4 linked regions of the Saccharomyces cerevisiae S288C genome follow. Changing the gene in region 1 together with any one later gene gives a genetic interaction. Each region holds a gene or a part of one and is shown on either strand. Other genes may lie near its edges. The genes, in order: IPL1, YPI1, MCM22 and SDS22.

Region 1 (3,790 bases):
CGTACTTGTCATCTATATGTTTGAATTTTTTTAAATAATGTAAAGCCTTTTGATACTTGTCCTGTTGGATAACAGCTACTAAGCAACGTCTAAATACATCCGCTGGATTCTCACATCCAGAATCCAATAGTTTCACGCAAGTCTGTTCGACCTGCGAATGCTCGTCTTGAGACAATTGAATGTTCAATTGAGAGAGCAAATTAGTTAAATTATCTTTAGCCATTTTTTTGCTTTCTTTCATTACTCTTATTATTGATCAGAACCAACTCAACAAAGTAAATCTGCTACTTTAATGCATAGCAATTTTCAGCTTGTTTTCCTCTTTTCTTTCGACAAAGGCGAAAGAAAAGAGGAAAAAATGAACAAGAAAATTTAATCAAATATCGCAATATACGATGCCGAAAAGAGTAATGAAATATTAGAAATGGATACTTAGTATTATGTGATATGTGCGGGAGTGATTAATAGTGCCCTTCAAACGATTCTGTCATACTTTAATTCTATAACCGCTTATTTTCCCAAAAGGGCTTGTTTCTTAGTATCCAAGGATGCATTTTTACGTCTCCAAGGCGCATTCTATCTTTGGGGTCGTATTTTAGTAGTTTAAGTATTAAATCTTGCGCATCCTGAGAAATGTTACTGGGCATTTTGATATCCAGTGCTGCTATCCTTTTATATGTAGTATCTTTCATTTCTTCTTCGAACGGAGGGGCACCGGTCAGTAGTTCAAACGCCAGGACGCCAAGAGCCCATGCATCTATAGTGTGATCATATTCCCTTGACTCCACCATTTCTGGAGAAAGGTAGTCAATTGTCCCACAGACAGTTTTCCTTCTATTTTCTGGCGGATTTATTATACTCCATCCGAAGTCCGTTAACTTAATGACATTATTGAACCCTATTAGTATATTTTCAGGTTTAATATCTCTATGAATAATATTCTTTTTATGCATATAATCTAGGGCATTGGCAATTTGATAAATATAATCTGATGCTAAAATATCGTTGAAGGGTCCGTGTAACCTCAATAGTTTATACATTTCCCCATTGACTAAGTATTCCATTAGCAGGTACACTCTTTTTTCATCATGAAAATAGCCGTATGATTTAGTTAGATTCGGATGATTTAGCGATGTTTGTATTTCTACCTCCCTTCTGAATTGTTTCTGTAAATTATACTTTATTATTTCTTCCTTCTCCATTACTTTCAGTGCGCAAATATATCCTGTACTCCTGTGCCGAACGCAATAAACTTTACCGAATTTACCCTTTCCTAATTTCTTCCCCAGTTCAAAGTCATCGAGTGATAGGGATTTAAATTTAGGTAGCTTCTTATTTTCGTGTATCATTTTGGAAGAAGTCGCTTTCCTTATAGGTGATGGAATTTTGGAGCTTTCCATATCCAAAAACTTCTTATTGTTTACAGGTAATCTGTTCAATTTTTCTCTTACAGGTGAAGGTATTTTTGAATTCGGGTTTCTTTGCTGCGGCGAATGGGATATTCTCCATGGTTTATTGATCCTGGACGTATTTGGTCTTGTTGTGGTCTTTTTCGATGGCGAATTAGCGTTTAGTTTGATATTTACTAAACTATTGCGTTGCATTCCCTTTTTACTTCTTTCTTTTGTTGTATTTCAAAATCCCAGTTTTTTTTGCGCTAAGAATGATCTTGCTTTGTTTATGCATTCACTTGAGCAATTGCATCAGTTGGCCTTAGCTCAAGGTTTTTATAGAATGGTAAACAAATTAAGCGCTTTACAGGAAAAACGCGTGAAGTTAAACTTACTGTTCAATAAGCAATGCTGTATCGGAAAATGGAGCACAAAGGTTATAGATACAAGAGAAGACTATCATGTCATCAGATGCGTTAAAAGCACTACTTCAGTGGGGTGCGTCATTTGGTGTAATAGTGCCAGAGGAACTCAAGTTTTTATATACCGATCTTAAGGGCATTATTTGCGTATGTGAAAAAGATATAGACAATCCCAGCATCAAGATTCCTCCCGAGATTGTCATTTCAAGGAATCTGCCCATGAAGTTTTTTGGGCTAAGTGAATCCACTAAGAATATCAACGGATGGCTGAAGTTGTTCTTCGCAAAAATAAAATTTGATAGGGATAATGATACTATCGTGGACAATGTTCGTGTGAATGATAAATTTAAACCTTACTTGGATGCATTGCCTTCCCGCCTAAATTCGCCCTTGGTCTGGAACCCAAGCGAGTTGAAGCGTTTATCATCTACAAACATAGGGAATTCGATTCATGAAAAGTTCGAAGGTATATTTAAAGAGTGGTTTGAACTGGTCAGTTCTTCAGATATGTTTGACTTGGAAAGAGTGGCAGATGATGTGCAGACCTTCCATAATCTCGATGAGTTGACATATGAGGCTTTGTATGAGAAGATTTTGAAGATAACAGAACTTCAAAGACCAACTATCTGGTATTCTTTTCCTGCATTTTTATGGTCGCACCTTATATTCATTTCAAGAGCATTCCCTGAATATGTGCTAAACAGAAACTGTCCTGACAACTCTATTGTACTGCTTCCCATCGTCGATCTTCTAAATCATGACTACCGTTCCAAAGTCAAATGGTATCCTGAAAATGGGTGGTTCTGTTATGAAAAAATCGGTACCGCCTCCCAATCACGAGAACTATCAAATAATTATGGCGGTAAGGGAAATGAGGAGTTACTCTCTGGATATGGATTTGTTTTAGAAGACAACATATTTGACTCAGTGGCTTTGAAAGTTAAATTGCCATTAGATGTGGTATCTACAATTCTTGAAACAGAACCTAGTTTGAAGCTGCCCTTACTTTCGGATTACACCACTTATGCTTTTGAAAACAAAGACTGTGTCCAGCAAGAAAAGAAGGCTACTCGTAGTGCTACAGACTACATCAATGGGGTGACTTACTTCATTAACATACAAAATGAACAATGTTTAGAACCATTACTGGATCTTTTTACCTACCTTTCTAAGGCCGAAGAGGAGGATCTACACGATTTGAGAGCCCGTTTGCAGGGTATACAAATGCTACGAAATGCATTGCAGAGCAAACTCAACAGCATTACTGGACCACCTGCAACTGATGACTCTTATGCAATTGATCCTTACAGAGTCTATTGTGCTGACGTTTATACTAAAGGTCAAAAACAAATTTTAAAAGAGGCTTTAACGAGGTTGAAAAAACTAGAAAAAACAATGCTGTCAGAGAACAAGCACCAATTGCTAACCATGAGCAAAATTCTTAAGAATGACCCTGCTTTTGCAGAAACTGAATTACCTTCGCTGTTCAGCAACGAAGATGGTGAAGAGGTCATCTTTGAATCTACTTATGATTTATTGATACTTTGGATTCTACTGAAAACGAAAAAGAATTCTTACCCCACCAAATATGAATGGGTTGGACAGCAGTATACTAATTTCAAGCAAACTGCATATATTTCAGATGATGCCAAGGCTTTCCATACTGCATACTTCGAGAAGCAAGACGATGTGGATTTGGCCGAAGTAGATCATGCGATTCAGTTTGTAGTAGACAATTCCTTTACCAGAACTTCATCTACAACCGAAGAGACTATTTTAGTACGTAAGTAGCTTTTCCTTATAGAATGTTAGAGTAGAGTACGTAATTACATCTGCACTTATTTAATAAATGCACTTACTAACAAACTGGGTTCTCATTGGTCAGAAGTGTCCCGGGTATCCGAATATGGCTTCGATGAAATTTTTCGCCATGGAGCTGCGATGCCCGATATTTGTGTATAAAACATGGAAATGAGC
Region 2 (8,061 bases), on another chromosome or scaffold:
TATGCTGCTCTTAAATATCTCCTCTATCAGGGAGCTATATTTCAATAAACAATGGCAAGAAACACTATCCCAAATGGAGTTATTGGATTTACTTCCTTTCTCAGACGAGCTATCTGCTAGAAAGAAAGCACAAGATTTCTCTAATTTAGATGACAACATTGTGAAAAATATTCCAAATTTGTTGATTATCACTCTAAGCTGTATATCGAACATGATTCATATCTTGAACGAAAGTAAGTATCAATCGTCCACAAAAGGTCAACAAATTGATTCCTTAAAAAATGTTGCGAGACAATGTATGATTTATGCTGGTATGATTCAATACAGAATGCCAAGGGAAACGTACAGCACTTTAATTAATATAGACGTCTCTCTATGATTTTTTTAAATATTGTATATTTTTGTTTATATCTATATATCAGTATGCGCGCATACTTAGTAAAAGTATAAAAAGCCATTTGCTGCTTCATCGAATATTTTGGCTTTCGTTGTACAAAGCCTCAGTCCTTCTTTTCCTGCTGTTTTCGCCTGTATTCAGAATAATCTGGTTGGATTTCATAAGCATTGGGGCTATATGACCTTTTTTTCTCAAGTTTACGATGGCGCCTTTCCAATCTTCTTTGTCTACGTTCGTTAAAGTCAAGATCCTTCTCATTCTCAGATTCTGAAGAAGAGGATCCGGAAGAAGAGGATCCATCATCATCTGAATGATGGTTGCACTCTTCTTCATCCTCATTTTGTGGATGAAAAATGCAGCATATCTTGGTCTTTTTTTTATTCATGTTTTCATTGTCAATCACATTTTCTTCCCATCTTACATTGTGCCTTGTAGGCATTGCCTCCTGGCTTCTTGGAGGATCTTGAGTTGCTCGAAGCTGCAAAACTGCGGGAACCTCTTCCACACTCACCGTTCGGGACCCTACGGTCTGTTGTTGTTCTGATCCCATAGCCATTTGATTTCCACTCATCCTTATAGACTTAATTGAAGACTTAGCTCGCAACTCCTGGCAGTTATAAGCTCTTGGGACCCTTGACTCGAATTGTTTCTAAATGATAAATACGGCCCCTTGTTTATACTGAAACGCACGTCGCTGATGATTTCGGACCTCCAAGGTGGCAAATTCACAAGAAAAGCCTTTAAGCTAAGAAACGGTTTATGACCAGTATTAATATTGAGAAAGAAAAATAGCAGGTGATAACACAATTAAGAGGACTTAACAAGAAAGACGAGACATAATGGAACGACTACAGAGATTGATGATGAATAGTAAGGTGGGGTCCGCGGACACCGGCCGTGACGATACGAAAGAAACTGTTTATATTTCTTCGATTGCGCTTTTAAAGATGCTAAAGCATGGTAGAGCTGGTGTTCCCATGGAAGTCATGGGGTTGATGTTAGGTGAGTTTGTCGATGATTATACGGTTAACGTTGTGGACGTGTTTGCGATGCCTCAATCGGGTACCGGAGTTTCTGTTGAGGCTGTCGATGATGTTTTCCAAGCGAAGATGATGGACATGTTAAAACAAACGGGCAGAGACCAAATGGTCGTTGGCTGGTACCACTCTCATCCAGGGTTTGGCTGTTGGCTATCTTCTGTTGATGTTAATACTCAAAAATCTTTTGAACAACTAAACAGCAGAGCTGTTGCTGTCGTTGTTGACCCTATTCAATCCGTTAAGGGAAAAGTTGTCATCGATGCTTTTAGATTGATTGACACGGGCGCATTGATAAATAACTTAGAGCCTAGACAAACAACCTCCAACACAGGCTTATTGAACAAGGCCAACATTCAAGCCTTAATTCACGGTCTGAATAGGCATTACTATTCTTTAAATATTGATTATCATAAAACCGCGAAGGAAACCAAGATGTTAATGAACTTACATAAAGAACAGTGGCAATCAGGTCTTAAGATGTACGATTATGAAGAAAAAGAAGAATCAAATTTGGCTGCTACAAAGAGTATGGTTAAGATAGCCGAACAGTACTCTAAGAGAATAGAAGAGGAAAAGGAATTAACCGAAGAAGAACTTAAGACAAGATACGTTGGTAGGCAAGATCCAAAGAAGCACCTTTCCGAAACAGCAGATGAGACACTAGAGAACAATATTGTTTCTGTGCTGACGGCGGGTGTTAATTCAGTGGCAATTAAATAAACAAATTTTATAAAGTCATTATGCATTAAATAACTAGAAAGCCCACTACATATATATTATATTGTATTTTTCTAAAAATTCTAATGAAGTAGTTAATGGAATGAATGGGAAAGAGAAAACGCGTTAGGAGGGAAAAGGCTCCTTAAATAACAGTAAAAATGAAATGGCTACTGGTAGTCCCAGTGCCAATTTTTTTTTTTACTTTCTTTTCTTTCACTCTTGCTTTTCCCATACTTGTATAAACGTTTCCTTCAAAAATAAAAGCTCGGCTTCTCTCTCTGTCGTATTTATGCCATCTATTTCTATCCATTTTTCACTTTTGTTATCATACAGCTGAGTAATCCAATGGCTTTTTTCATCACCATTAAATGCGTTTCCATCTGTGGATGGTTGTTTAATGACCACATGGACCACATTTGCTTTTAAGCGATACTTGACGTGCAAAATTTCAAGTTCACTGGAAAATTCCACCAACGTTTGGTTTCTATTTTTGACAGGATGATCACTGTTACGGTCAAACCTATTGAAATGAAATATTAAAAACTGCGGTAATCGCGTTAGTTCAAAAACGGTGCTAGTAGAGGAGCTTCTTGACTTAGTAAATTTAGTCAATAATTTAGTGATATTTATTTGTGGGAGATCATCAACGCTGTTGCCATCTTCAAAGGGTGAAAACTCCGGCAAATCGAGAGTCAGAACCCAAAATGGTTTGACAATGACTTTTCCTGTAACAGACTCACTGGCCTCAGGCTTATTTTCAACTTTTGCTATCTTTACTTTGCCTTTACAAGAATGGTTTAAAATTGACTTTAAGTCGTTCGAGGACGAGCAAATTTTATTGAATAGCCACAAAAGGAAGAGACGCGGGTCTATAGGATTTAAATTTAAACCTTCTCTAACTTTCAAATAGGATACAAAATCGTCAACTGAAAGATGATGTTTGAATAGTTTAGGGGACCAAATTTTCTTTACACATATGGATAACCTTTTGATAAATTCCCCTTGATTATCAAAATGATTCAGTAGGAAGTGGTCCCGCACTGGAACCATGTGCGATATCAAAAGCAATACACTATGCGCATAGTCATAAGTTGCCGCATTGGTGAACCCTATAAATCCATTCAGATATGTGCGATTGCTCAAATCAAAACACTGTCTCGGAAAATCTTCTAGATCTTTTGGACAATAAGTCGGATAAGCTGCAAATTTTATGCTGTTCAACAATTGAACCTCACCGTCATGTAAAATTTGGACATTTTGCGGCAACATGTAAAACTTCAAACTTGTCAAATTCAAGAAGACGTGATGGTTTTCATCAATTGAATGTATGAAAGCAGGACTCTTTTCATGTCTCCCCTGATAATAATGTCCACACACGAGGCAACAATATACATTCAAAGGGGACAGAGTAATGCAGCAAATTTTCTCAGAATCGAAATCTAGTTTTTCTCTTACTACAGTCTCAAGATAGGCATAGTTTGGTTCCTGAGACTTTATCTTTTTTACTGCCTCCTGTTTTAACTCATCTTCTGAATGTCTCCTTTTGTTATCAACCTCCATTATAAACAGCGCTTTAGGTTAACGCCCACTAAATGATGAACCATGAAGAGCATGGTTAGATTGCTGCCAATTTTTTTTCCTATTTCGTCATTTTTTTATCAAGATTTTCCAGTTTTTTTTTTTTTTTTGGCATTGCTTACTATACGCGAGGGAGGTTCAATTGACACTTTCCGCTACGGCGATTCTTCAGAAACTGTGTCATCTTTTTTCCAGGTCGAGCTGTAGGAAAACCTGGGAAATATAGGTATATACCTGATCTGTTGTTGGAGTGATGTGCCTTGAACCAATCTCTCTTGTTGTTTTCGGATCCCTGGTGTTTTTCTTTGGCTTGGTGAAGTATTTCAAACGTGGAGAACGGCAAAGAACAAGAGGAATTTTACAGCCAGAGTACAAAGATAAGTATTATTACAGTAAAGAAAAAGGGGAAGAAATGGGCGAGGTAGCAAACGTAAATGAAATTCCGGTCAAGATAAGAAATCATAAGTATCCTGCGAAAGAACATAACTTGAGGGTTAAAGATTTGTTGTTAAATCGCAATCCGAAGCTATCAAAGATATCCACAGCATTTTTTATTGCTGGTGAAGAATTAGAGGGAAACAAGTATTGTGACACCAACAAAGATTTTAGACAGAATAGATATTTTTATCATTTGTCAGGTGTTGATATACCTGCTTCGGCGATATTGTTTAACTGTAGCACAGATAAGCTGACATTGTTTTTGCCAAACATCGATGAAGAAGATGTCATATGGAGCGGTATGCCTTTGAGTTTGGATGAGGCAATGAGAGTGTTTGACATTGATGAGGCCTTGTACATATCTGATCTGGGGAAAAAATTTAAAGAATTGCAAGACTTCGCTATCTTTACAACCGATTTGGACAATGTTCATGACGAGAATATTGCAAGATCACTAATTCCTTCAGACCCTAACTTCTTTTATGCTATGGATGAAACTAGAGCAATTAAGGATTGGTATGAAATTGAAAGCATCAGAAAAGCTTGTCAGATTTCAGACAAGAGCCATTTGGCCGTTATGTCCGCGTTGCCCATCGAACTGAACGAGTTACAAATACAAGCTGAATTTGAATACCATGCAACCCGTCAAGGTGGTCGTTCTTTGGGCTATGACCCCATTTGTTGTTCTGGACCGGCATGTGGCACTTTACATTACGTCAAGAATTCAGAAGATATCAAAGGTAAACATTCCATCTTAATTGATGCAGGTGCAGAATGGAGACAATATACAAGTGATATCACCAGATGTTTCCCAACTTCAGGCAAGTTTACTGCGGAACATCGTGAAGTTTACGAAACCGTTCTTGACATGCAAAACCAAGCAATGGAAAGGATTAAACCTGGTGCTAAATGGGACGATTTACATGCACTGACACACAAGGTTCTTATTAAACATTTCTTAAGTATGGGTATTTTCAAGAAAGAGTTTTCTGAGGACGAAATCTTTAAAAGAAGAGCTTCTTGCGCTTTTTATCCCCATGGACTAGGGCATATGTTGGGGCTTGATGTACACGACGTTGGTGGTAATCCAAACTATGACGACCCAGATCCAATGTTTAGATATTTAAGAATCCGCCGTCCTTTGAAAGAAAATATGGTTATCACTAATGAACCAGGTTGCTACTTTAATCAATTTTTGATCAAAGAATTTTTGGAAAAGCACCCCGAAAGATTGGAAGTTGTCGATATGAGCGTATTGAAAAGATACATGTATGTCGGTGGTGTTAGAATTGAAGATGATATCCTTGTTACCAAAGATGGTTACGAGAACTTAACTGGTATTACTTCTGACCCTGATGAAATTGAAAAAATCGTTCAAAAAGGTTTGAAGAAACCCCGTTCAGGTTTCCACGTAATCGTTTAGGTATTAACTTTTTTTTACTCGCTTCTAGAAGTTTAGTATATTCTTTTGTACACAGAATTGTATATTTTTTTTATAATCTTGGATTCACCATTTAACTAGATTTGGAAATATAAGGAATGGCACTGAAAAAATTAAGGACCAACCCCGAAGAGCAAAAAATGAATGCGAATTCTGTGGATCGAACACAGGACCTCCAGATAACTTGACCGAAGTTTTTTCTTCAGTCTGGCGCTCTCCCAACTGAGCTAAATCCGCTTCTATTTATGAAAAATTCATTGTTACAGGAACTATAGGACTATAATAACTAGCTGCTAACACCTTTAAATGTGACTTTTCTCATAAGGAAATCTAGCGATTCAGAATTCGAGAATTTTGCAGATTGCAAAGTTTTCTTTTTACCATAATATTTGAGAATGTTGTAAAACTTGAGATAATTATTCGGATGTCATTGTTGATTGAAGATAGCATTCCTATGAGTCGCCCTCGAGGACTTGGATCGAAAAATCTACATAATATTAGTAATTACTATTATTGTTGGAATTGGATAAACCGTCGTCCACCTATTTGAGAAATAGGTAATTATTATATGAGTTATTTGGTTCCTTTTTGTTAAAGTAATAATTTGAAATGCCATCCATTTGGTAATATTCATGTTATTGGCATATTATCATATGCGGTTCAGGAAGATGACATAAAAGTTGAGAAACAGTTATCAACCCTAATGGAAGCTGAAATGCAAGATTGATAATGTAATAGCATAATGAAACATATAAAACGGAATGGGGAATAATCGTAATATTATTATGTAGAACTACCGATTCCATTTTGAGGATTCCTACATCCTCGAGGAGACTTCTAGCATATTCTGTGTACATAATATTATGGTCTTGATCAACAATGCAATCCCAACAGTTATCAAATTATTCAGAAAATTGATCACATTTTCGATAAATCTATTATGAAAGTAAAATTTTGACTCATACCTAAGTTCTCGTTATTCGTTAATCTTATGAACTCATTAACCTTGGCGTTTCAGCATCCGCTATGATTACTAGTGCTTAAACCTTGTTATTCATGCCTCATAATTGATGCCATCTTCTAACCTCGAGCGTGATAAAATTTTTGTAATATGAACACCAATCGGCGGAAGATCATCCCAAAGCCACATATGATGGTGCCTTATAACATTAATAACAACTTCAACTGCTGCATACCGATAATATCTTGACGATTATGCATTCGTGTCCTGATAGCTAATGCCATGAAACAATTCTTTTCAATCGCACTTGCACCTTCGTGAAATAGAAGGGTTATCTGGGCTTATCAGACTTGTCCACAGTTTACATATAATTTTTTTTCTGTATTAAATTTTGTGAGCTTTCTTTTTACTCAAACGAACTGTGTTATTTTTCGTTCATTAAATGCGTACCTTTAAGCATCATCAAGTATTGCTCTTCGGGAAAAATGAAGTAACCTTGTTAGGTTAATTTCACTAGTACTATACATATTTTATCCTGTATCATACCAGAGGATCATTCTAGCCACAATGGTCGATACGCATAAACTAGCAGACGACGTTCTTCAGCTATTGGATAACCGTATCGAAGATAATTATAGGGTTTGTGTTATCCTAGTCGGTTCTCCAGGCTCCGGTAAGTCTACTATTGCGGAAGAACTTTGTCAAATTATAAATGAAAAATATCACACATTTTTGTCAGAGCATCCAAATGTTATTGAGGTTAATGATAGGTTGAAACCTATGGTTAACCTAGTAGACTCTTTAAAGACGCTCCAGCCCAATAAAGTAGCTGAAATGATTGAAAATCAGGGGCTGTTTAAAGATCATGTTGAGGATGTTAATTTTCAACCAGTCAAGTACTCAGCCCTTACATCAAATAATGAAGAATGTACCGCAGTAGTTGCCAGAGGTGGTACTGCGAATGCCATAAGAATCGCAGCAGTTGATAATCCAGTCAATGTTAACAAGTTGGCCCAGGATAGTATCAATATAGCGCAAATAGTCCCAATGGATGGTTTTCACTTATCTCGCAGATGTCTAGACCTATTCAAAGACCCACAAACTGCCCATAAAAGAAGAGGTTCGCCCTCAACGTTTGACAGTAACAATTTCTTACAATTGTGTAAAATTCTAGCCAAGACGTCCCTATGTAAGGTCTCCTCACATCATAAATTTTACTCCACTTCAAGCGTTTTTGAGAAGTTATCCAAAACTTTTAGCCAAACAATTCCTGATATCTTTGTTCCAGGATTTAACCATGCACTAAAAGACCCAACTCCAGATCAGTACTGTATTTCCAAATTTACAAGGATAGTTATACTTGAAGGGTTATACCTACTGTATGACCAAGAAAACTGGAAGAAAATTTACAAAACATTAGCTGATACGGGAGCACTTCTTGTTTATAAGATTGACATAGACTATGAGGCCACCGAAGAAAGGGTGG
Region 3 (8,342 bases), on another chromosome or scaffold:
CCATGGGACGCTGAAGATATCGAAGAACATACCATGCTCGCTAAGGCTCAAGGTCATGACTGATGACAAACAGTATGTTGCGATGGGGTTGCATGTATATAGATACATATAGTTATCATTGGTAATTATTTCATATTTAACCTAAATCTAAAGATAAGAGTGTATTTCTAGTTATCTCATTTTTCCTTGCATTTCTACCATTTGTTGAACTTGTTGATGCATCATCTCTTTTAAATCGGACACATCATTTTCTAATTCCTCCACTTGTTCAGTCTTTTCACCTAATAGTTGTAAGGAGGTTTCCAATTTACTTTGCATCTGCTCAACTCTTTTTAAGAGATCATCTTTCTGTTTATTTACCTCATTGAATTTATCGTTTTCTTCCAGAAGTCTTAAAATCTCATCATTTGCTTTTGTCTTTTCTTTCAGTAAATTATCGTATAATTCCTTTGATGCTGATAATTCACCTTCCAATCTTTTTAACTCCGTACTTAACTTGTTCACCAGATGAGCGCTTATGTGGCCGTTAGAATTCGATAGCTGGACGCTAGCTCTTCTGTATGGTATTGATGTGTTGTTTAACGAGTTCATTGATTCCCCTTCCCTGATTGCTTGTAAAGCAGCGGCCTCTTCTGGAATATCGTCAATGCTGAAATCCACATTTTTTCTATCAAAATGTTGGCTTTCTTCGCTACATATGGTTTCGTGAGATTCATTGTAAATGGGTTTTAGAGACGGATCGCTTTCTAATTCGCCAAGTTTTGACATTGATAATGACAGCATAGAATTTTCTTGAGGTAAAGTCCATTCGTCTTCTATATTTCCCTCCATGGAGTTTAAACTATCTGTTAATTCTACAGGTATTTTATCTATAATTTTCTCATTGCTGTTTTCTTGATGTGGTTTTAGTTCGTTCTCTTTTTGTTCCAACTGAGACCTTTGAATTTCGTACTTCTTCTTCAGTAGATTATAATCATCACTTATACTTTGCAATGATGACTTCAATGTCTCCGCCCGTCTCTCCAAGTCTTTCACTTCCAAAACTGCCTTCGAATGATTCTCTTTTTCTTTTTCTAATTGCTTACCTAATGTTTCAGATGAACGTAAGGCAGTTTGATATTTTTCTTCAATATCATTTTTTTCTTTCATTGTAGATTCAAAGCGGTTTTCCAAGTTCACAATTTTAGTGTTCAAAGCGTATTCAATACTATCCCAGTTGGCCTTTGATGACTCAAGCTGTTCTTTGAGCCGATTGTATTGGAAAGATGCGTGTTGTTTTTCTTCATAACTTTGTTGGTCATCGACAAAATCTCTATTTGATTTAGCGTCTAAATTTTGAGTAGAGCTATCTAATTCTATTCTTAGTTGTTCTAGTTTAGTCTCTAGAGTGGTAACTTGATCAACTGTTGCTTCTTGTAGTGCTTTCTTTTCCGTTTGAAATTCACTTTTTTCTTTTTCAAGCAATGTTCTCATATTATCTAAAGATTGCTGTAAAATTGTTATCAAATCATCTTTTTCTTTTATATTTTTCTCTAATGTTTCAAGTGACTCTTTTTGTTTATCTGCATCCTTTAATTTATTTGTAGCTTCAGCCAGTTGTCCTTGTATGTTGTGATACAATGATTGCAGCTCATTATAGTTTTCGACACTCTGAGCAGAACTATCGTTTAGTTCAGATACCTCATACTCTAAGTCTTTCACTTTTGTTCTTAAAGCTTTGATTTGATTTGATTGCCTCAGCTCAGTTTCCGCTAATTTAGCTCCTTCTTTTCTCAACTGATCTATCAAGTCGTCCTTCTCTTTAATCAATTTGAAAAAACTAGAATCCGTGGTTTCGATTTGTGATTTTCTGTTTAGTTCGTTAGTTAGGTCATCAATCTGTTTGTTTAATCTTAAATATTCAGGACTAATTTCTTTGACTAATTCTTCAACAGTAAATTCAGTGTAATTTTTAGGTAGCCATGTAGGCAGTGATACCATAGTGTCGTCGAAGCAATCAGTCCTATTGTGATCGGGATGCACCACGTCATCGACAGCGATTGAATCTGCCTTACCTGTATCGCCTTCCACAGTGCTTTCTGATCGTACCGCAGGATCATCTATGTTTTCAGCATTGTCAATTGACACCACACCGGCAGCCGCATCATCAATGGATGTACGAGCACTTTCTTGTTCATTGTTTGACAGCACCACAGGCGATGGAGACGACAAATTTGACGTTGACCTTTTATTTTTCTTTCTTCCTTTCTTAGTTGCCAAGGAGAGTCTCTCTTCCAACGATAATTTTTTACTCATAGCAAAATTGGTATACCACTACCATACAACACTTTTTATATACTATTCTGGACTAAGGACCTTTTAACGACAGTCTATTAAAAGAGGAAGTCAAGAGCTTTTTGGTGAATAATCTACGGTTACTGCCAAATTATGATCTTCTAAATTTTGGCGCTTTATAACATCCTCACACCACTACGAAGCACACTTTGACTACGAAGTATTACTTAAGTTAGACTGGTCTCATTGAAATCTATTAGTTTGATGTATTTAGTCCCTGGATTTGTAGAGCCCTCAATTACTGTTATTATATTAGCCCTAAGTAATAATCTGTATATTGGTATCGTTTTAGATGAAAAATCGTTTAATGTCAGATTCAAATCATGCTCAATTAGTCTTTTCATTAACAGCATGACTTCGTTCGTTAAGCTATCTATTGATTCATCATTATCATCCAAATTCGGTACTAGATAACCCTTGAGAAAGTCCGCCAGTGAGTCCCAAAGCTCTTTATTTCTGGCTTTTCGTGTTCTAATATGGGCGTGATCTTGCTTCTTACTGTCCATAATGGTCATTTGATGCTGCAGTTTTCGTAGCAGCTCTTTCAAGTCACTATTAATATTATTCTGTAACAATAACATGGCCTTTTGATCAACTGATTGATCATTCATAAGCGAGAGCCATTCACTGGAACTTTGGGCTCTCAAAGACAAAAAATTCGATGTCAAACTGAAACCAATAGGATCAGCTCTCTCTGAGAAGAACATGGGTTTTCTTAATAACTCTGTAAAGACCTCAGAATTGACCGGTTTACCCTCTGTATCCAGAGATCTCTTCGTGATCTCATCGATGGCACCTTGAGCTTGCTTCAAGAAATATCGTTTGTTTCCGATCTGGTTCTCCAGGTTCTTTATGTAGACATCCAGGACATCCTTTTCAACATCCATGTTTCCTTTGTGAGACTTTCTGCCGTTTGCTCTTGTCCCTCTTTGTCGTCATATGCGTCTTGTTTGTTGTTACGCTGCATATCAAAGCGAACGGTTAGTTATTAACTAACGTAAAAATTGATGGAAACATTCATTTATATGAAAGTATTGAAGAAGAGGTAAAAAGGAAAACAAATTTACAAACAACAAAGAATGTCTTCTCTATCAACGTCTGATTTGGCCTCCCTTGATGACACTTCCAAAAAGGAAATTGCTACTTTCTTGGAGGGAGAGAACTCCAAACAAAAAGTCCAGATGTCAATCCATCAATTCACTAATATATGCTTCAAAAAATGTGTTGAGTCTGTCAATGATTCTAATTTAAGTTCGCAAGAAGAGCAATGTTTGTCTAACTGTGTGAATCGGTTTTTGGATACTAATATCAGGATTGTGAACGGGTTGCAAAACACCCGTTAATATGAAACCGATTTATCTCTCCGAGTCATTATTCTCTTTACCTTAATATATCTGTAAATAAGCAAATGAATATTTTAATATATGTCCAAGGTTTCTTTAAAAGGGATTCTTCAGCATAAAGGGCAAATAACTCTTTTTGTTTATATACTGTCTAGTTATATATATATATATATGTATATGCATTTGTCTGTGTCTGTGTCTGTTTCCTATGAGAACTCAAAAAGTAACTGAAACCGCGGTTGCTTAGATAGAGTCGATAACTGTTCACCCATAGCGCAGTCACAATTCAGCAACCAGCTTATCGTTTCCTTACATTGTTGTAGTATTGATTCGTTCAACGCATCCTCTTGCGAACACTTATCGTATGTAACTAGAATTAATGATAAAATGTCGAATCTGTGAGCCACTATTCTTTCATTCGGGCAAACCTTTATGAGAGTACTTACCACTGAAAGAGTTTTTGAAATAAGTTTTGGAAAAGTTGTGTAAAAAGGATTTCGTACAATATATTCACCTAAAACAAAAATCAGCCTCTGGAGATGTACAACAGACCCTTCTCTTTGAAGTCTCAGTATGTTCATTGTGCATTCCAATGCGTATAACGTCAAATTTTCGTATGCAAGGCTAGCCCTAGGAATTATGTTTTGCAAGATTATCTCTGACATGAACTTTTCCAGGTGATATTGATACTTTGTGTAATTGTCCAAAAATTCTACTTTATATAACGACTGTATCGTTGGGAAAACGACCCGCCATATGGCTATTGTTTCATCAGCATTGTATGAGGGAGGGAGAAAATAGCACATATTGATTAGCGTCTTTTCGAACAGTGGAAATAAACCAGTACTAGAGAACTGTATCCATTTTGAGTCATTGGTTTCGTTCATAAAGGTATGATTTAATAGCGTCTGTAGGAGCAGAACACCACGAAGTTTAATTCTTCTTATATCAGTGGTATCATCTAGTATGTTTAGAATTCCTGGAATAATCCAAGAAAGATTCGTAGATATGTCTCTCCTTTTCAAATGTAACAGAATTACGTAGAATAACGGAATGCCTTTCAAGCCACCCTGACTTACCCACGCCTGCATTAGGTTATCTTCTTTCAAAGACATTCCAAGCGTGGGTTTGAGACCAAGATTACGTTGCTCTTTGAGTTCGAAGTTGCTTTTGCGTTTTAAAAGTAGTGGCTGTAACTTAGAAATAAGGACGCACATAATTTCGTCATGTTCACTTTTGTTACGCTGAAAGTAGTAATCTATAGTCTGCAAAACATCTGTGTTGATTTGTATGTCTACTCCTGGAGATATGGAGTGATATGAGAGAGATTCAATAAGGTTGACCTCATCGGACACCGTAATTGCACATCCAGTATCTGTCTTCTTTCGTAACTGGAGACACAACTCTCGAAGCCTTGTAGAAGAAAGACTCGAATCATTCAATTCATCGATGATATCAGTTACGGCCGTCATTCTTTTCAATATTTTGTTATATGATTTTATTCTTCACCTCGTTTTCATTCTTCATAGTTTTCGTTTCTCATCTGCTATTGAAAAACCGAACTAGCCGAAGGATAACAATAATGAGTCTTAACTGTTAATATACAAGATTATACAAATAAATATGTTTCTATAAAATAAAAAGTTATATTCAATTGCGAAAAAAATAAATAAATGTGGGAAGAAAACCCAATAGTATGTCCTACTATGTCATATGCTATCATTAATAGGCATCTTCAGACACATCTTCATGGAAGTATTTACCCTCGGTGGTTGGTTTAATGATACCTACTCTTATACAGAAATCACCAAAGTGTTCCCCTTCTTCTCTTTCTAAAGCATACCTTTTAAACAATGGTTTGATGTAGTCGACAATTTCCTCATCCTTCACATTGGCCTTATACAATTTGTTTAGCCTTTGGCCGAGGTAACCACCACCAAGCATCAAGTTATAAGTATGTGGAGCTTTACCAACAAGAGCTAATTCACCTAGCCATGGACGAGAACAACCGTTAGGGCAACCAGTCATTCTCATAATAATGGAATCATGGCGTAAACCATACTCTTCTAAACAATCTTCCAACTGAGTAATAATGTCAGGTAGGAAACGTTCAGATTCGGCAAACGCTAAACCACATGTTGGCAAACCAACACAGGAAGATGAAGATAATCTCAAACCGCTGAAATCGGTGTTATCCAATTTATAGGTCTTTAAAATAGATTTTATTCCAGCAACATGTTCATCTGTAATATTAGAGATAACCAAATGTTGATTACCAGTCAATCTGAAATGACCAGAATTAGTCTTAAGCATGTATTCAGCAACCTTTCTAATACCTGTCTTTTGAGGCAAATCTGGTGTATCTTCAACCCTACCATTTTCAATAAATGCGGTAAAGTGGTTTAACCCAGTTTCATCTTTAATCCATCCAAAGTAATCAATATTAGATTTAAACTCAAATGGTCTCTCAGGCTCGAATTTCTTACCCCAGTATTCCTCCACTTTTTGCTTGAAGCCTTCGACACCCATATCATCTACAGTATACTTTAAACGAGCATGCTTACGGTCTTTACGGTCACCGTGATCTCTTTGGACAATAACGATACCTTCAAGTGGTGGAATAATGTCTTCAGTTTTAACAAAACCTAAGCATGACCCTAATCTTGGGTAAGTTTTCTTGTTGTTATGAGTGGTACCCATACCACCACCAACAAAAACATTATAACCCTCCACGATTTGAGTTTCTGGGTTAACTATAGCAACTAAACCGACATCGATAGATAATACATCCACATCGTTATATGGAGGAACGGCGATGTTGAATTTAAACTTTCTTGGCAGATAAGTTGGACCGTAAATTGGTTCAATATCGACCAAAGCGTTACCGCTAACTAGAGTCTTCTTTTTTCTTGGACCATCTTTTCTGTTTTCAAAAATAGATGGCCAGGATGGATCATCGTCCTGTTCTTCTGGGCCCTCCAGCCAAACTTCGTGGTAGGCCGTAGTCTTTGGTAAGAAATGATCAGAAATCAATTTTCCCATATCAGCGATTTGTTGGTGAACCTTGGCATTGGTTGGTAGAGCAGAAACCATGACATTTCTGTTCACGTCACCTGCAGCAGCTAATGTATCCATAAGAACTGCATTCATTCCTCTCAATGTGTGTTTCAAGTTCTTCTTTAGCACACCATGAATCTGGAAGGTTGCCCTTGTTGTTAATTTCAGGGTACCATTGCCTGAAGTATCAGATAAGTGATCCAGAGCAAGCCATTGTTGTGGAGTGGTCTTACCACCTGGTAAACGAGCTCTTGCCATAAACATATAGTATGGCTCTAAGCCTTGTGACTTACGTATTTCTCTAATGTCACGATCGTCTTGGGTGTAAATACCGTGAAATTTCATTAATTGTTCATTAGCGTGAGTAACACCACCTGAAGAAGTATCCTTTAAGTTCTCACTGATAGTACCTCTCAAGAAATTAGATTCTCTCTTAATATCCTCGTTTGTAACAGGTTTTGGCTCATCATCAACAGCAGCGCCGGAAACACCAAGAGCTTCCCATAATTTAGGTTCCCACTCAGAATAAGCAGTTTGGAAACCATCAGCATCTTGATCATCACCCAGTCCCAAGGGAATTAGGGCTTTGGCACTCAATAATTCCAAGCGCTTAAATAAATCCTGTGAAGGCTTGTTAAAATAATGTTTATCTTCTTTACGTGGCCAATACTCAGAATCACCGAGACCAAAAACAGCAACATTCAAACTAGCTAAATCCAAGTCGGTGTCATTTTTCAGAGCTTCCCAGAAAGACTTACCGTCTTGGGGGAATTCACCTTGCCCAGCCGTGGAAGTAATGAAAACTACATTCTCTTCACCAGGTAATTCTTCCAAAATAATGTCATCCATGGACAGAACAGTAGCCTTTAAACCTCTTGCAGATGCCCTTGCTGCTAGTCTCTTTGCCAAGTTTGCAGCATTACCACCGTCAGAAGCATAATAGACGTGTAGCGGTGGGCCGGACAAACCCTCCAATAACTGATCGAAGGCAGCCTTGCTTCTTTTTTCTTGTTTCCTTGTCAACGCATCACCAGCAGATTGCTTTAGATTTCTTGACAAAGATGGATCTTTTCTGGTTAATAGGGTAAGCTTATTCTCACGGTCTAAGAAGTCCTGTAATTGTTTTCTGATAACCGAAGAATCCAAGCTAAATGCCTCCTTATCTGTTGATGGATCGTCATAAACAGGATTAAACCTATACAATGGCCAGTAACCAGATTCAACGGCGTTTTTGGTTTCCTTTAAGACTTCTAATGGAGTATCATTTTCGGAATTATACGGCAAATAAGCCAAGACAATAGAAGGACCATTGTATTTAGATGCCTCTATTATTGCAGTCAATAGTTGGGTGTAAGAAGCATATACTGCTACAGAGGCAACATAGGCACTGTAATAATTCATGGCGTACAAACCAACATCTTTCTTTCTATCCTGGTTTTGCTTTCTATGGTCATATGGCTCTGAATCAATCAATAAAACATTAATGTTTTTACGGGAGGATAAAACCTGTTGAATACCTGAGTGACCCAAATCATAAGACCAGGCATCGGAGCCAATTAGCCAGCTTGATTTGAAAATAAAAGAATCGCTTGTTGGAGCTATCTTTAA
Region 4 (8,649 bases), on another chromosome or scaffold:
ATCTTCTTCGAAGGGATACCAACTGATTTATTATCTGAATCGCTTTTCTTGGACTGCCTTAAGCTACATTTTACGATAGAAGCGTAGCCCTTCTGAGAAGGCAATTGTGCCCCGTCACTGATATATACGACAAAAAGGTTATCTTTAGGGAAGTCCATTTTGCACACAGTACTCCTCAATATTACCTTCTTTAAAAGTTGGATAGCCCCATTTTTTAGTATTGTCTTATTACTATGACCATACTCAGCCTTCACCAAACGTGTTTTATTGACTTTTGGTGCCACAACAACCAAGGAACCATCTGTGATCCTCGCAGACTTCATTGATGGCTCCACCCTGTCAATTTTGAACTTTGTAACAATTCCTTCCAAATAACAAATCAAAGTCTCACCTGGGGTAACTATACGGGTTTGGTGCAAAATCTCACCATTTTGGAACCTCATCGCATTGGCATCGATAATTTCCCAATCATCACTCGTTTCTGGCGTGACATACACCTCCGTAGCCAGGTGTGTGTGGTCATATCGCTGGATGTATAAGTCCACCAATGGAGACTTTTGATTTAAATCATATACTGTGGCCAAAACAGGATTGATAAGAACAACATTCTCACTCGATCCAGAATCATGGCCATCCCATCCAAGATGAACAATAGGTATATCTGAATTATGAGAATGGACTGCTATACCGAATTCCTGGATAGCGTAGTTGGTTGACTCTAACACGTTTATAATTGAATGCGGTAACCTTAAAAAGTTTCCTACTATGGCATTGGAGAATTGGATTCTCAGATTCTCAAACTTCAACCTCTTGGTCGTCGTCATTTGAAAGAGCAGTTCCTCAGGTGTTTCTTGTTACTGCCGTCCCTTCCAGAAGAAATTCGACGATGACAATAGTCGGAGAGATATTCCGGACCTTTATAATTGCGGCTACGCACAAGAATAAATCGCGATAGTAATCGGATATAAGACAATAAAGTCCAGCTAACTTGGTTGGAGAATTCGACAGATTACCATGAATATAGAAATCGATGTTTTTTTTTGTCCACGCCGATTGATCAGCCATTTTTTTTTATCAGGGTCGCAACTGCCCTGTGCAAATAAGAAAGCCTGAAATGGTTGCACAAAGACCACAAACAAGGGCATACGCCAGTACAGTATTATGGACTCATGCCATCGAGGTTACATAGAATTAGTTTAAACAAAAACCAACTATCCTCTAATATCCATGGTACGAGTATATATAATTGTATGAAGTGTAAGAATATGATATAAATAATGAGAGCACTCATAGAGAGTAACGGCGCTGAATTGTAAGAACTGTCACGTAGTAACACAATCACTGAAAGCATATAAAGTGAAATGAGAAACGGTAGTAATATCATATGCATTACCAATTCCTTTTAGTGAATTTCCATGTGCCCGAGGGGGGACTTCCAGTATATTCTGTTACATTTAAGTAAATACTTCATCAACAAATAGGGCCCAGCGGTTTCTTACACTAATTATACATTTACAACGTAAATGCTCCAGCTCAAGCATTATTTATATATCTTGTTTTCAAAAGAAAAATATAGCAATTAGACTCCATGGCCAAGTTGGTTAAGGCGTGCGACTGTTAATCGCAAGATCGTGAGTTCAACCCTCACTGGGGTCGCTTATTTTTAACTTTTTTACACTGAAGAAACAAATCAATTCTAATACAATGCCAATGGCTTCAAATCAACCTTTGGTTATAATAGTTAGGAGAATCGATGCTTACATAGTATATTATTTAAACAATTAATTTGATTTAAAAGATTTTTGTTTCCCTTGCTGCTGTCATTGGCTTTCTAAATTACATAAAGCAGATGAAAAGCCACACTATGCTGAAAATAGTGTGTGGATGCATCTACATGATGATGCAACACGAATTGGATTTTTTAGCTTGCTTATAAAACATTTTGGAACTTGCCGTTAATGACTCCGATTTGTCCACCAAATTATCCAACTTTTCACCTCTTTGTAAAACATTCTCAATCGTTTTGTGCAAAACGATTTTCGTCTCATCCAGTTCTTGTTGAACTTTCATGATAGCGTCAGCCTGTGAAGGATCTTGATATTTGCTAATGTAAGTGTCCAGTTGCTTCATTTTCAATGCATCATTGGTCTCAGTCACATCTGCCCACTCTTCCTTAGGATGTGCGACTAAATATTCATCCAATATTTTGTTTAATAGTGTGTATGCTGGTCTGACAGGATATTCTTTGTCGGTGATCAAAACACCACATATGCCCTCACTCCTGGCATAAACGTGGCCAATATAGTTGCCTTCTTCTATACTTTGTCTTTGTCCTGCACCAGTTCTAGAAGCGACCGTTTCAGCAAAAAAAGTCATAAACTGGCCAACACTAGACCTTTCAAAGAAACCAAATTGTGACAAGTCTTTAACTTCACTCAACTCTAGAGCCTTTTCTCCTCCAGAGCGAAATACACCGATGTAGTAGATTCTCATTGCCAAAATAACTTCTCTAGTGATACGTAAAGCTTCAGAAATGCCCTAGCCTGGTCTAACGCAGTCAAACTGTGCCAGAGACTTTTGTATATTGTTCATGTTGATATCTATTGTGCTTGCTCTTGATTTCACACCAAGCCAATCGTTCTGTACGGCACGCCACCCAATAAGAAAAAAAGGGAAAAGGAGCCGAATTTTGGTTTAAAAACATATAATGCTGAAATTGTGGAACACCAATTACCAACTGGAAGTAGGCTCGATCCAAAGAGTGTATATTATCAGTAAAATGCTTCGCAACTTAGTCGTCAGGAATGCGTGCAGAAACAGGCCGTCAATTCAAGTGGCAAGGGGGTTATGCCGACACCAAACAAGACGTCTCATGGCGTCCTCCCCTCAGTTCGGTAGGAACTCCAATCAGGAAAAAACAGCGGGCTTTATAATGGGGATTCTTTCTATGGCTGGTGCTTTATATTTTATTGCTCCTAATAGGAAGCCTCTTTTCGCCTCAAGGAAGGTAGAATCCGATAAAACCGCAGAGGAAGAGCTTTCCAGTGGTGGTGAGCAATCACCAGAAAATGAAGATGACAACAACAGCAAAAGCGATGAAAATGGAGATGACAACGACAGCAAAAACGATGAAACTGAAGCTGGCCCTCAATTAGGGGGTGATAAAATTGGTGCTTCAAAAGTAGCTGAAGATGGTGAATTGGTTGTTCTAGCAGAAGAAGACAACAAGTCTTCCGAAGATAAAGATACTGATGAATCAAAGGTATCAACCAAAGATGATGAGCAATCCAATGAAGACAATGCCACCGCTAACAATCAAAAGGATGAAAACATAAGTTCTGAGAACTCGGAAGAAAATACTAGTGACAAAACACTAGACAACAATGCTGGATCTTCTGAAAAAAAAGATCCAGAACATTCAGATGATGAAAAATCGCAACAGGGACAATCTGATGACAAGACAACTACTGAAGATAATAATGGAGAAGAAGAATCCTCAAAAAAAACTGTAAGTGACTCGGAAAATTCAGCTAAGCAATCTGAATCTAGCGATGAAGAGAAAGAAGAACTAAGAAAACAAGAGGAAAAGCAAATGGGTCCTACTGAAGAAGAGGTTCAACACGAAGGTGCTTATAACCCAGACACTGGTGAGATAAATTGGGACTGTCCTTGCTTGGGAGGTATGGCCCATGGACCCTGTGGTGAAGAGTTCAAATCTGCATTTTCTTGCTTCGTCTATTCTGAAGCTGAACCAAAAGGTATCGACTGTGTTGAAAAGTTTCAACATATGCAAGACTGTTTCAGAAAATACCCCGAGCATTATGCAGAACAACTAAAGGAAACATCTGATGATGAGGAACCTCAAGACAAAGTAAAGGTCAACACAATAGAATCAGCGCCAAATGTTTCAAGCGCAAAGGAAAATGCTGCGAAAAAAGCAGAGCAATCAGATGTGAAAAAAGAACCATTGAATGAGGAATCCAAACCTTAAAATCTCCTGAAAATCTCCCGAACGTAAAAAGTATAAAAGTATAAAGGATGATACATGTAAATACAGTAATATTATCTTAGTTTAATGACTACATATGGTATAATATGTGAAATATACATGAATTAATGCATCTGTGGGGCGGATGAGTCTAGTCTCTGTATGAATCCAGCTATACATCAAATCGTATCCTTTTATTTACAGGGCAAGTTTGTCATATATTTTAAGTTACTTGTAGTTTTTTTCCAGCTCAATAAATTTTTCCCAAATTTGAGACATTGTAAGTTTCTCGAAACTCTTTCTATTATCACGTTCTCGAATGTTGTATTTCTGTAACTGTACTTCCTCATCACCCACGATAATTAAATAGGAATAGTTTTTCAAAATGGCCGACTTGATCCTATACCCTACGGGTTCGTTTCTTATGTCGAGATCAACATTGAAATGCCAATCATTTAAAGGAACTGGTTCCATGTCGTCGGCTTCCAGTTCATTACGTAGTTTTTTCTGCAAGGCAGTGCACATGTCTAGCTGTTGCACATTTTTCGTATTGACGGGAATAATTACAGCTTGGTAAGGATTCAACCAAAACGGCCAACGGCCCTCATTAGAATCTATCAGTAAAGCCATAAATCTTTCGATAGAACCAAAAGTAGCTCTATGAATCATAATTGGCCTCTTGTACGAGTTGTCTTGATCCTTGAATTTCAAATCGAACCTCTCAGGTAGCTGAAAGTCCAACTGAATAGTAGCGACTTGATGAGTTTTGCGTAAATGGTCCGTAACCATTATATCCAACTTTGGACCATAGAACGCACCATCACCAGGGTTCAGTTTCCACGGTTTGCCTGATTCTTCCAAGATTTCCTTGAGTACTTGCTCAGCATGATTCCAAACTTTGAGGTCTCCAATGAAGTGATCCGGTCTTGTAGAAAAGTTTATAAAATAATTGCTCTCTGCTCCAGAACCTCCTTTAACAAAGGGGAAAATTTTGTTGTAAACTATGTCGATTAATTTTAAAGAGTTGAAAATTTCTGATTTCACTTGGGAAGGAGTGCAAAAGATATGACCATCGTCTTGATGGAACTTCCTTAGTCTAGTCAATCCCGACAGTGCACCAGAAGCTTCATTTCTATGTAGTGGTGAAAAATCAGAGAAGCGTAGGGGAAGTTCGTTATACGATCTATCCTTTTTACCGAAGATCAGACAATGGCCTGGGCAATTCATCGGTTTTAAACCGTATTCCTCCTTTTCTTCATCCGTAGTTTCCACCTTAAACATGTCATCAGCATAATTTTCCCAGTGACCAGACTTTTCCCAAAGAGTCTTTTTGTAAATCAAAGGCGTCACAACTTCATTAAAACCAAATTTGAACTTTTGTTGTAACTTCATAAACTCTATCAATTTGTTGAAAATCTTAGCACCATTTGGAAGAAAGAACATGGATCCAGGAGATAGTGGATCTGTCATGAAAAGATCTTGCCTCTGAGATACCATGGATGTCATAGTAGCTGGAGTCGCCGACGAAGCGTTCTTAGTGGCCTTTCTCGTAGAGTAGAAAGCACGATTCCAAAGAGCATTGCGAGAACAATGCCATCTTACAAGTTGTATTTTCATATTGCGAGACAGAAGGACGTGCCCTTAGCTATTGCATATGTTTTTCTTTATGTAGTTCAGCAGCTCTTCTTTTTTTCATGCTCGAGGTTTTTAAGGGCGAACTTTAACTAGATGGATTATTCAGTTTTTTTTAAAAGGATCAAAATCCTACATTATATATATATATATATATATATGTTTGTGTGTGTATATAAAAAAAAAATCATTTCTTGATCAAGATCAGCCTCTTATATATGTCGCATCAATCTTCTGTAGGGATGGAGGTAAGTTCATAGTCAGTTTTCTTCTATACGAAGTCTTATTTTCCAGTTGAATAGGGTTTCCCTCCAGATAAATGGTCTCCAAGCGTGATAGGGCGGACAGGTTTTCACCCAAGCTCTCAAAGGATTGATCTATCTTGTTAAAGGAGGCCCATATGTCAGTTAAATTTGACAGGTGGTTCAAGTTTTCCAGGGAGGTAATTTTGTTGGAGGTCACGTCCAAAGTAGTTAGTTTTAGGTTTTTCTCTAGACCTTCAATCTTGGTGATGAAATTATGTGACAGATAGAGCTCTTCAAGATTGGTCAACTCTTCTAGATTTTCAATTTTTTTTAATTTATTAGATTGGATGGACAATATCTTCAAATTCTTTAAAGGATGTAAGTTAATAAGTCTTGGTATGGAATTTTTACCCAACCAAATTTCTTCCAAGTTTGACAGACCTTCGAAGGAATCGGGTTCAATAGAATGAACCTTATTACCACCTAATTCTAAGTTTTTCAGTGATTTCAAAGTGGACAGATTTTCAATTTTGGAAATGCTGTTCTGCACGAAGTATAAATTCTCCAGATCAGTCAAATTTTCTAGATTTTTGATGTGCTTGATCTTGTTAAACGACAGGTCTAGAGACGTTAATTTGGTGAGCTTATTAACATTAGAGGAGATATGTTTAATTTTGTTATCGTAAAAATCAAGGTCAACAATCTTGTCATGGGGTAAAACTTCCACTTCGCTTATGCTTTCGATCAGGTTCTGTCTGAGACATAATTGTTTCAAATTCTTGAACCTATAAAGGTTCAAATCTTCTAACGATTTGATTTTTAGATGGACCAAGTCAATAACCTCTACATCATCAGGCAGATCTTGTGTCAGTTCCGAATCTGCAGTGATGAAGTCAGGATTTGTATCGTCTACAACCTCAATCTTGTGTCTTTCGTCTTTTTCTTCACTATCTTTGTTAACTGAATTCTTATCCATAATGATGGCTATGTGGTGCTAGATTTCTTCCGACTTCTTGCTATTTTCATTCAAAAGGTTATACATGTTTTATTTTTCAACAGTACCTTAATATATAATAATTCGGGGCCAAAATAACAAACAACGAGAAAAAGGGAGGAGAGAGTAAAGTATAGTATTAACAGGGCTGGTTATATAGATATATATATATACGGGTCAATCGATCTATTTATATACATACGAATATAATATGACATGGGGGTGACACGATACAATATAATAGAGCGGGGACGGACACTTAGTTTGCGTCGGGATTGGAAGCGATATAATCGACCGTTTCACCAACACTTCTCAACTCATCAGCCACTTTGTCAGGGATTTCAATATCAAATTCTTCTTCAATAGCTACGAGCAGCTCGACAGTGTCCAAGGAGTCCAACCCCAAATCCTTGTGAAATTGGGTATCGCTGGAGATTTGCTTGTTGGCAATGTTGGGAGAGTTCTTATCAAACGCCTTGATAACATCAATGACCCTTTGAGAAACCTGATCTTTGCTCAAGTTTGCAGAATAAAATCTTTGTGCGAGTATGGTGTTGGACATAACGGAACGGCCCATTATAGTGCGGTACGCAGAAGGTGCCACGCGGGAAGAAATGCGGCAAACGGATCTAAACATGGCAAGGAAGGTGCTGTATTGAGTTAGTTGTGTTGTTTGTACTAATTACACTGCAAGTGTGACTATTCTTCCTTTTGCTTCGTCATCACCACCTTTCTCTTTTACTCAGAACCCGTTCGAAGGGGCGAAGAAAGAAGCAATTGACAAATAATCTGTATTCCGTCAACAGTGATATATGTCACGTGACTCTGATAAAACTCCATGGAGTCTCTTCGGAGTGTATGTGTGAAAAGAATAATACATATAAGACATCTACAGGATCAGTCTGATAGTTTTAATGCTATGGTAGACTTCAGAATGTCTTTTTAAGTATGCCATTTGGTTAAATCTGTCCTTTTATATGTACTTGGTGCTTCTTTTTTCTTTACTTTTTTTTTTTTCAGTGAGAAGCTCATCGCAACAAGAAGAAAAAAGACTAGTTCAAAGGTAAAAGAGTTAAGATGATTAGTGATGGATTTCTAAGTGGCAGCGTTGAAAGATCGTGCAAAGGTTGAAAAATGGAAGTTGCACCGGCCTTATCGACTACTCAGTCGGACGTGGCGTTTCAGAAGGTGGAGACACATGAAATTGACAGGTCTTCATACTTGGGGCCATGTTATAATAGCGATGAGCTTATGCAACTTATCTCGGCTTATTACAATGTCGAGCCTCTCGTGGGTTATCTGGAACAGCACCCGGAGTACCAAAACGTGACCTTGCAGTTTCCTGACGATTTAATCAAGGACTCCTCGTTGATAGTAAGGCTGCTGCAATCGAAATTTCCCCATGGGAAGATAAAGTTTTGGGTTTTAGCTGACACAGCGTACAGTGCATGCTGTGTAGACGAGGTCGCTGCTGAACACGTACATGCAGAAGTCGTGGTACATTTTGGTGACGCATGTTTGAACGCCATCCAAAACTTGCCCGTGGTTTACTCATTCGGAACTCCATTTTTGGATTTGGCACTGGTGGTGGAGAACTTTCAGAGGGCATTCCCAGACTTATCCTCCAAAATTTGTTTGATGGCAAACGCACCCTTCTCTAAGCATTTGTCACAGCTGTACAATATTTTGAAGGGCGACCTGCACTACACAAATATCATATATTCCCAAGTGAACACCTCTGCGGTAGAAGAAAAATTCGTAACCATACTTGACACCTTTCACGTTCCCGA

The links.
Region 2: of IPL1 (region 1) and YPI1, a mutation in one rescues a mutant of the other (synthetic rescue), as found in Saccharomyces cerevisiae (4 studies listed by BioGRID, with this or other methods).
Region 3: mutations in IPL1 (region 1) and MCM22 impair growth when combined (synthetic growth defect), as found in Saccharomyces cerevisiae (2 studies listed by BioGRID, with this or other methods).
Region 4: of IPL1 (region 1) and SDS22, a mutation in one rescues a mutant of the other (synthetic rescue), as found in Saccharomyces cerevisiae (7 studies listed by BioGRID, with this or other methods).

What each region holds. Positions count from the first base shown.
Region 1 is NC_001148.4:155,990-159,779, forward strand, and holds IPL1 (aurora kinase), read right to left. Parts: upstream 1,605-3,790; coding exon 501-1,604; downstream 1-500. Other genes in the region: signal recognition particle subunit SRP72, read right to left, coding at 1-223; RKM1 (protein-lysine N-methyltransferase), read left to right, coding at 1,853-3,604. UniProt on the Saccharomyces cerevisiae protein: Component of the chromosomal passenger complex (CPC), a complex that acts as a key regulator of chromosome segregation and cytokinesis.
Region 2 is NC_001138.5:152,157-160,217, forward strand, and holds YPI1 (type 1 protein phosphatase-activating protein YPI1), read right to left. Parts: upstream 969-8,061; coding exon 501-968; downstream 1-500. Other genes in the region: linker nucleoporin NIC96, read left to right, coding at 1-379; proteasome regulatory particle lid subunit RPN11, read left to right, coding at 1,237-2,157; mRNA splicing protein SAD1, read right to left, coding at 2,371-3,717; YFR006W (putative Xaa-Pro dipeptidase), read left to right, coding at 3,989-5,596; YFH7 (Yfh7p), read left to right, coding at 7,143-8,061.
Region 3 is NC_001142.9:673,558-681,899, forward strand, and holds MCM22 (Mcm22p), read right to left. Parts: upstream 3,222-8,342; coding exon 2,502-3,221; downstream 1-2,501. Other genes in the region: XPT1 (xanthine phosphoribosyltransferase), read left to right, coding at 1-63; SGM1 (Sgm1p), read right to left, coding at 172-2,295; protein transporter TIM8, read left to right, coding at 3,414-3,677; TTI2 (Tti2p), read right to left, coding at 3,884-5,149; MET5 (sulfite reductase (NADPH) subunit beta), read right to left, coding at 5,400-8,342. UniProt on the Saccharomyces cerevisiae protein: Component of the kinetochore, a multiprotein complex that assembles on centromeric DNA and attaches chromosomes to spindle microtubules, mediating chromosome segregation and sister chromatid segregation during meiosis and mitosis.
Region 4 is NC_001143.9:73,042-81,690, forward strand, and holds SDS22 (type 1 protein phosphatase-activating protein SDS22), read right to left. Parts: upstream 6,842-8,649; coding exon 5,825-6,841; downstream 1-5,824. Other genes in the region: PEX1 (AAA family ATPase peroxin 1), read right to left, coding at 1-824; palmitoyltransferase YKT6, read right to left, coding at 1,891-2,493; MIA40 (Mia40p), read left to right, coding at 2,780-3,991; threonine--tRNA ligase MST1, read right to left, coding at 4,217-5,605; ACP1 (acyl carrier protein), read right to left, coding at 7,119-7,496; DPH2 (2-(3-amino-3-carboxypropyl)histidine synthase), read left to right, coding at 7,994-8,649. UniProt on the Saccharomyces cerevisiae protein: Regulator of the mitotic function of yeast type 1 protein phosphatase.